2 linked regions of the Nothobranchius furzeri genome follow. The protein of the gene in region 1 binds, or shares a complex with, the protein of each later gene. Links are inferred from orthologs where the notes say so. Each region holds a gene or a part of one and is shown on either strand. Other genes may lie near its edges.

Evidence for each region.
Region 2: cpsf2 (region 1) and cpsf4 share a complex: the UniProt entries of both Homo sapiens proteins name them as parts of the cleavage and polyadenylation specificity factor (CPSF) complex. The link is inferred for Nothobranchius furzeri from reciprocal best matches to the Homo sapiens genes CPSF2 and CPSF4.

The regions. Positions count from the first base shown.
Region 1 is NC_091742.1:9,301,720-9,306,258, forward strand, and holds the start of cpsf2 (cleavage and polyadenylation specificity factor subunit 2), read right to left. Parts: upstream 2,913-4,539; 5' UTR 2,762-2,912; intron 2,443-2,761; 5' UTR 2,425-2,442; coding exon 2,276-2,424; intron 2,067-2,275; coding exon 1,907-2,066; intron 1,814-1,906; coding exon 1,708-1,813; intron 1,631-1,707; coding exon 1,501-1,630; intron 1,416-1,500; coding exon 1,300-1,415; intron 1,164-1,299; coding exon 976-1,163; intron 885-975; coding exon 594-884; intron 507-593; coding exon 406-506; intron 253-405; coding exon 49-252; intron 1-48. Other genes in the region: NADH dehydrogenase [ubiquinone] 1 beta subcomplex subunit 1, read left to right, coding at 3,703-3,839, 3,970-4,006; riox1 (ribosomal oxygenase 1), read right to left, coding at 4,235-4,303, 4,386-4,472. UniProt on the Homo sapiens protein: Component of the cleavage and polyadenylation specificity factor (CPSF) complex that play a key role in pre-mRNA 3'-end formation, recognizing the AAUAAA signal sequence and interacting with poly(A) polymerase and other factors to bring about cleavage and poly(A) addition.
Region 2 is NC_091752.1:65,592,255-65,596,680, reverse strand, and holds the start of cpsf4 (cleavage and polyadenylation specificity factor subunit 4), read left to right. Parts: upstream 1-1,535; 5' UTR 1,536-1,837; coding exon 1,838-1,940; intron 1,941-2,062; coding exon 2,063-2,113; intron 2,114-2,654; coding exon 2,655-2,807; intron 2,808-2,936; coding exon 2,937-3,032; intron 3,033-3,110; coding exon 3,111-3,204; intron 3,205-3,348; coding exon 3,349-3,421; intron 3,422-4,426. UniProt on the Homo sapiens protein: Component of the cleavage and polyadenylation specificity factor (CPSF) complex that play a key role in pre-mRNA 3'-end formation, recognizing the AAUAAA signal sequence and interacting with poly(A) polymerase and other factors to bring about cleavage and poly(A) addition.

The sequences.
Region 1 (4,539 bases):
ACAGAGCTGTCAGCTGTGTGACATTACTGAGCATAAACACTTCAGTACCTGATGATCTCTCCATATTCGTCCCATTTAATCCTCTCCTCGTGTACCGGAAACATCGGGTAAGACTTTTTAGCCTGTTTGAAGAAACTGCCTTTACGGCTCCCCTCGCTCTTCATCATCAAGTCGTGATGCTTGGTTTTCACCGCAGCTAGGTGATCGATGTCATCCTCCACGTCGCTCTCATCACTCGAGTCCACATCCACCCTGCAAACCCAGGAAGTAGAGTGGAACAAGCACAAAACAGATTAAAATCACCTAGAAGGTCATTTATTTCTGTTCTCTGACATCGACAGGTTCAAACTGCTGAGAAAGAGTCAGAAAAATACATAAACTCTTCCTTTTCCTACTGAGACTCACTCTTTTGCTTGTTCGAGTTTTTTTGCTGCTTCCTTCTTCACTTTCTCCTTCTCCAGATATTCCTCCAGGTCCTTGCCCTCGAGCTTCACTCTTTTCCTGACCTGCCAAAAATAAAACAAAACATTTTAAGTGTGAAAGTAGGAAACAAAGACCACGTGAAAAGTTGGTCATCAAAAACCCAGTCTCACCTCCAGATCCAGCATCGTTTCCCCAGGGTTGTCGATGAGGTAGCGCGCCAACGTTCCAGGTGTGGTGCGGTAGGTCAGGATGATGGAATTTTTTGCGTTTTGACACCACTGAATAAAAAGTTCTCTGGAAAAACCAGACTCAAGGTCTGGCTGGCTACAAAGCACCACCTTGGGGCTGGGGACCCGGGCCAGGTCTGCCAGACTGTGACACAGGGTCAGGTGTCGGAACTGGAAGGGATTGTTTCTTTTATCCTCAAAACACCTCATGAGTTTGTCGCTCATCCACTCCACCTACAGGAAATTAGAAATGCGGTAGTTTGTCATATTTCCTACGAGGTCTCCGTTTCAATACTAAGGAAGTGGGAAAACCAGTGACTGATACCTGGGACTTGGAGAATTCCACCACATTGTAACTGACATTGTTGAGCAGAGCTAACGGGTAAACTCCCAGTCCAGCATCCTTTGTCCTCCAAATCTGGTCCAGGAGCTGTGCCAGCTCCAGGACGCGTCCAGCCGTGTCCACGGAAATAAGGACATTCCCATCCCCACGCAAGGTCTCCATTACATTAGCTGTAAAAGTAGGACAATTAGTGAAGGGAGAACATTAAACATGCAAGCTGAAACCCTAACACCTATTTTCAAGAAATTCTTTCAATCTAGTTTAAGCTTGATGCTAAAATTGGTAACCGTTGTGAGGACAACTTACTGAGCAGCAGCTCATCTCTTTGCTTGCGGCGTGGTTGTACATAAGTAGCATTAAAGGAGTCAGTAATCAGTAAGGATGGACGACTAATGCTCTCCAAAGTGCAGCCATTCAGGTGGCTGAAACAGAGAGGAGTAAAAGAACACATCAGCTAAAACCCGACAGGCTACCAGATTTCTGTTTTATACAAACACCTCTGCCTACATTTCTCTCTTATGGTTAAAGTCCACTGCATAGACAATTTCCTCCTCTCCATCCTTGACAATCTTCCATATGGTGCCTCCGATCATGTGTCCAGCAGGAAGAGGAGTGATGGAAAGGCCATGGCCTTTACCTGTGAGGAAAATTAGATGATTTTAACCACATAAACTGGAGGGTTCTTTAATCTATAATGGATTGTAGGATGCTCACCTTTCAGACTGACAATCTGAGAGTACTTCAGTTGCTGGATTTTGTCAAAAGCACTGTCTACGTCATCAAGGGTGAAGAGCGTGAAATCTTCACTGTTGTTTCGAGACTGAGGGAAAGGGAAAATATTTAAAAAAAACAGAGTTTTATGCAAAACAATGTATATGTTAGCATTTTTTAATATAATTACAATTTTAAGTACCTGATATAAATCATACATGAACATCTGACCCATTTTGTAGACCGGAATGGTGGCATAGATAGTACAGTTTAGACCCAGCTTGCCAACAGCATAGGGCAGGGCTCCCAGGTGAATGGGGTCAGGGTGGGACAGCAGCACTGCATCGACCTGATGAACATATCTGGAAGAGATGATGAACAATATTTTTGATTGCAGAACAAACACAAAATTAAGTGAGCTAGGGGTGGAAAAACTACTTAAGTCATGAGTTCAAACTGATTTTACAATAAAGAAATAAATAAATGTTTTCAGCAACTCTGGAAAATGTGTGAACAACCCATTCCTTCTTGTGGATAGCTCTTATTGTTAATTATGGTTTGACATTGTTACCGCTTCATGGCATCAATAATGTCCATTGAAAAGTTCTCGTCCCATCCACAGTCCAGCAGGAAGCGAAATTCATCCACCTGCAGCAGGTAACAGAGGGCAGACTCCTCCTGAACCCCTGACACGGCTGTCAGCTTGATAATGGACGTCATTTTCCTTCACTTGTCTCGCTGAAATGACACAACAGAGCCCACAAGTACAAACAACTTCAACGTCTATTTCTTGAAACTAGTTTGAATATGAACAAAACCACGCACACATGTGCCATTATTTTACCGAACAATAATAGTGAATTTCATATCACTGTGAGTACAAGGGCTTGTATTCATCTCGTTACAAAGGTTAAAACGTAAGAAAATCTAAATGAAAGCTGTCTGATTTTCGCAACAATTGTTGTCGAATTACCCGGCAGTCTGCTTAGCCTGCTAGCTTAGCCACATATTAGCTTGCGTATATGAATGAACAAAATCAAGGGAATGGGAGACATACCATCAAATACAAGAAAAAAATAAATATTATCTTTCGCAGTAACAGAAAAAAACGCCTAAATGTGGGGGTTTTCTTGTAATAATAACATCCAAGACATTTTTGTTAGCAATTAACAGCTCGACTAGCGGCCATGTTTTCACGTTCGTCACAGGTGAAAGGGCAAATGAACGTACCACTTACAGTCAAGAAGTTCTAAATCAAAACACATAATTTAAAGTTCTTTATATTAAACTTAAAACATAAAAAATGCAAAAAATTGGAATTCAATATAATGAATATAGAATATAATGAAATAAATATGTAAGTATTTATCGATTTTCATGATCACGTGATCCTTTTGCATTTGGTAGAGTCCACGAATGTCCTTCGTTTGGTGAAGGAAGACCTGAAGGCCACGACTGTGTTAAAAAGCGGGTAATTTCTGGATTTATGTTTTATTGTCTGAGTCTGATAGTTATAAAAGCTTTGAGCGAACGTTTATTAAACTAAACATTAACAGGTAAAGTTATTTATAACCAAACGTCGCAGTAGTCGCTAGTGTTTAGCATGTTAGCTGTGGAGGAACGCTTTAGCTTCAACTGAATGCGGTGTCCAGCTGTATTTTCGGTTACATTTCAACATTTTCTTTGCTTAATAAAATGTCCTACATCATATATTTTAGGGGGATGTTTTGTTTATTGCATTTGATCCAACATCAATAAGCTGATGGCCATAATTATGTCGTTGTTTTGGAGCTTGGCTCTTATGAACATGTTTTCTTTTGTTTAAAAAAGAAAAAATAAATTGGATAATAACATACTACAACTGAAAACAACTCCCACCCCCAAAAAAGAGCAGGAACAAGCTTAAACTTGATTGATACCAGTAACAAGCTTTAGTGAATATAAAACATAATCAGTACTATGAAGTTAGTACAACTCTGTGCTTTTTTTGTAGGAACCATGGTGAAGTTTGCTCTTTCTCAGATAAACTGGACACACGTATTGGTTCCTATGGGTTTTGTGATCGGATGGTACCTTGATAAACAACAAGACCAGAAGCTGACAGCTTTCAGGAACAAAAGTGTGTTGTTTAGAAGGTAAGAAACCTCACACACACATACCACGGTCTCACAATTCATCTAACTTTGCAAGCAGCAAGTTCAGGTGTGGAATAAAGATTTTTTTAATGCAGCCACATGGAAAACAAACCTCCTTTCTTCTTGATAGAGAGCTGAAGCCTGGCGAAGAGGTGACCTGGAAGTAGATGCCCAGACAGTCCTGTCAGCTGAAGTGTGAATGGTTGATGGATGGTCTTCAAATCGCTTAATTGAAAAACATCCTGTATATTATTTTGAGTTGTATCAACTAAAAAATAAACATGCCCTTTGTGTTTCAAAGAAATAATGTTTATTTTATACATTATGTATCAAAAAGCTGCGAAAGAACCGTATCCATGACTACTGAAGTTTGTTTATGAACATGGTCGGTGTAATTAAGCTATCTGAGGAGGCTCAGCTGTGCGGATAATCCCCTTCTCAAAAAGCAGTTCGGCCAAAGCAATCTGTGAGGAGAGAGGAAACTAGATTATTTTCAGAAATTCACACCATTAAGGCACAGAAACGAGTTTGAATGTCAGAACCCACCTTGTCCTGAGCAGAGTCGCATGGCAAGCCTCCTACTGTCACAAAGTTGGGATACGAGTGGATCAGAAACTCAACGGCATCCGTGTGCTAAAGATAAATAAAGTACCAATTAGAATGTAGATGAAATCTTATAGACAGATTTAATTATTTCTAC
Region 2 (4,426 bases), on another chromosome or scaffold:
TGCCAGGTATTTTAAGTTGAAGTGCTATCCGTTTTTATATTAGACTTTTTATATTTGCAATAAAGTCCAAAAGTGAAGAATTTGTGTTATTTATTGCTTGATTGTTCAAGCTACCTCACAGAAGTGATCTGTTGTTAAAACTTAAAATGAAAAGGTAATTAAATAAAAAAATAAGGAACATTCTGCACTGTTTCTTCCTTTTCTTTTTCTTTTTTTTTTATGTATCGAAAGTATCGGATCGGGACTCGGTATCGGCAGATTCTCAAAATCAAATGACTCTGACTCAGACTCAAGGGCAAAAAAACCTGATCGGGACATCCCTAGTACTAAGTTCTTCCATCCGGATTCTCACCAGTTCCTGGAGCTGGTAGAGCTGAGTTTGTTTTGCACATTGAATGCTAATCATCTTCTGAAATTTCCTTTTGCATATCCTTTTCCCATTTGGTTTTTACATATTGTGAATTATTTCCATTACATTTTTTAATACAGCTGTATAATTTAGAAACTACCTTGGACGGCAATTGGTTTTTCGAGTTCAGTATAATTTTAACCAGCACATTACAGTTTCCCGCTAGTTGTGGTTTCACCTGAATGTCAGAGAAATGCCTCAGTTGTAAATATCAAAATAAATCTTTGTTGCCTATTTTAAACTCTTTTTTTAACATTTTCAAAAGATTAAAGGTGGACTCTATATTTTTACATTTTTTGTTTTTGTGAAGCGCCTCGTGATTTTTATCTTGAGAGGCACTATAGAAATGATATTTTCTTCTTCTTCTTTTATTACTTTTTATGTGCTCTTGCTTACTCTTCCATGTCAGTTTGTGGGCCCCCTAGTTCCAAAAAAATGTATGAGCCAATAAGTTGTTTTCTGATCCTGTTTGAAATGTGCCATTGTTTTGACATATGATGTCTGTGAATTTAAAAAATACAATTTTATGCCAATAAAGTGTTTATTTTTGACAGGTGACAAAAGTTACTTTAGGTTTTGTGTAAATGACGTAGAGGACGGTCTACAAATACTTGTCTCACCAAATTTATGTAATTGAACCAGACACAGAGAAGATGAGAAAAAGAATGGTGACAAGCTGCAAATCCTTCCAGGATGAAAGAAGATACATTAAATATGGAGAAAACCACCACAAATCTGGCCATGTGGTAAGTAGCAACTATGCTGGGGGAGAAGAGACTCAGCTGTGACGTCACAGACCCAGCGTCAGATCAGTAGTGATTTTAATTACGAAATTGTACAAACAAATAAATTTTAAACTATGTGACAGACAAACGAAAATTAAAAATGACTACATATTTTAAAACAGAAAAAAAAACTCACTATAAAATAGGAATCTAGTAAGGTTCATCCTGGAAATAATTTTACAATTCATAATATTCTTCTCAATAAGTACTCTTCTCATTTTTCATGAAACAAAAAATTAAAGCAAAAATAAAAAAATAAAAAATAAAAAATAAAGAGGCAAGCATTTTCCAAGTGAAACGTGAAAGGCCTCGTTTATCGATTAGTTCAGTCTAGATCCGTCAGCTCGGTGATCGTTGTGCGCGCGCCAACACCGTCACGCTGAGCAACGAGTAGAACGATAACTAAAACGGAACTGACAGACCTGAACCACGGTCAGAAGTTTTTTTTTACGCAGTAAAACTACAAACTTAGTTTATTTACATGTTTTCTAATTATATTTTGTTAATCTGTTTGACCGTCAAGTTTCGTTAGCCTACGCTTTCGTTAGTGTGCGGATGAGGTAGCTAAGCTAACAGGTTCGATTTCAAGCTAGCACAGGCGAAAACAACTTATTTGGCTTGAGGGCAGAAAACCAAAGCAAACATGCAGGACTTGTTGGCCACCGTGGATCACATCAAGTTCGATCTGGAACTAGCTATGGAGCAGCAGCTGGGAGCGCAGCCTCTGCCTTTCCCCGGCATGGACAGTAAGTGTAGGGATGCTACCTGCTATTAGCCGCTTTATCTGAATGAACCCTAATGAGAGAGCTAACGGCAGGTACACACATGCTTGTGTTAATCAGTTCTGTGCTAATGTGTCCCCCTGTAGAGTCAGGGTCAGCTGTGTGTGAGTACTTCACCAGAGGAACCTGCATGAAAGGTAAAAAAATATAATTTCAGTAGTTTTTACTTCGTTTTGTTGTTGGTCACGGGTCCATGTGTGTTTCCATTAGACACACAAATGCTGCTTATTTTATTTTAATCTGAAACGTTCATCAAAGCTTTACAATTCTAAATAAAATGTATTGGTAACCCTCCACTCACTGGTTGTCTCCGCATCATGGTTCTGAATTCCTAATAAAATTCTTTCTAGTGTGCAATAGAGACTATAGCTAAACCGGTGCAATCTTTTCATAAACAGACCTTTTCTATTTATAAAGTGTTTATTGTTACTCTTTGTCACATTTTTATGTTACTTATGATTCTCACTTCTATTTTTATGCCAAACACAGAGTCAACCACCGCTTCTGATCTCGCTCTTCCTTGTAGTGACATTAACATAAAAGATTTGATTTGTATGACAAAAGAGGAGAAAGTATTTTGACTTGATTTCTTCTGACTCTTGTTTTTGTAGCTCTGCAACAACCCGACTTTGCAGTTGTTCAAATGAGATGAATGTTGTAACTGTGAATGTGATTCAGGTGGGATGTGTCCGTTCCGTCACATCAGCGGAGAGAAGACGGTGGTGTGTAAACACTGGCTCAGAGGACTGTGTAAGAAAGGAGACCAGTGCGAGTTTCTCCATGAGTATGACATGACAAAGATGCCTGAATGCTACTTCTACTCAAAGTTTGGTTAGTTGACTTTCTCTTTATCTTTAACACATTAAATGAATTCTAAGTGTGGCTCTTGTGCCTCTTAACCACTCAACACTTGTCTTCAAGGCTCTGAATATTTTATTTCTTATATGTGTTGACCCCCAGGTGAGTGTAGCAATAAGGAATGTCCCTTCCTGCACATTGATCCAGAGTCTAAGATCAAAGACTGTCCATGGTACGACCGAGGCTTCTGTAAACACGGTAAGATCCGGCATGTGGGTGAGAAAAACTCTTTTTCTGCTCTTTCTTCAAACGGCTTCTGGATGTTTGTGTGTTCAGGGCCTGACTGCAGACACAGACACACAAGAAGGGTGATCTGTGTGAACTACCTGGTGGGTTTCTGTCCAGAAGGAAAGTCCTGTAAATTTATGCAGTAAGTCATTTGTTTTATTTGATTTTTTACATAAATTACCTGTTTAAGATCCAGTTTTTATTTAGTAAAAGTGGATTTTTGGGTTAGGAGATTCTGAAATAACACAATCAAAGATGTAAAATTTACTGAGATGTTTTCCTGCAGCCCCCGGTTTGAGCTGCCTATGGGAACTTCTGAACAGCCTCCTCTTCAACAGCAACTTCAGAACCAGACAAAGGTACGACCACTCACTCACAAATTTATTAAACAACTCTTAGTTCAGCCAACTTTAAAAAAATTATTTTTTCTGCCTTTTTGAAGCAGGTGAAATACATAAATATTTACTATTTTTTCTAAAGAGCTTCTAGAAAAGCCTCTGTTGGGAGAAATAAAGTTTAAGTCTGACTGGACTGATGAGCTAATGGCTAGTCTTGGAGCTACTGAAGTGTGTTGTTATCTGCAAACAGCACCAATCTTTAGAATTAACTCTTTGGGCCCTGGCGCCTCCCAATTGGAGGCCTTTGGAGTTTCATGTCCCAAATGTCAGTGATTGTTTGCATTCCCCGAGTACAGCTACAATCAAAACAGTTTCGATTTTAAACAAAGCAATTTTTGGATTTTGATAAATTAAGATAAAATAATACTTGAACTTAATTTTAGAAGAGGAGGGCTGTGTGACAGGGTGGAGGTTGTGAGTTCAAATTCGATTTCAGAAATTTAGTCTTATTTTATTTATTCCAGGGGTCCTCAACTAAGTTTGTTCAATCGTTTTTTGCAGCAGACACCAGTGAAGGCCAGACGCTTTTCTAAAAGTTCAAATATCATTGTATCTTAATTTATTACAATTTAAAATGGCCTTGTTTCCCATCTGGGCTGTTTGATTGTGGTTTTAGTTGTTTGGAGAATGTGGACAGTTGTAGATGTTTGGGACATGAAACTGTAGAGGTCCCCAATAGGGGGCGTTAAAACAAGAGTTTGAGTAGGGCTGTGCAATAAACCGAAAATGTATCGTTATCGAGGAGAAATCCTCAATATATCGTGATATTGATTTTAGGCCAAATCGCCCAGCCCTACTTTTGAGACACATTCACTGCCATCCGTATCACATGACATGGAATTATCTGGTTATTTTCCAGCAGCAAGTCAGGGGTTAAGTCCTCCTGGAATTACTTAATGTTTCTCCTCTTTCCTATTCATTTTCTCTCCCTTTCCTCGCAGTTTTTAAATTTATTGTAATTTAAAA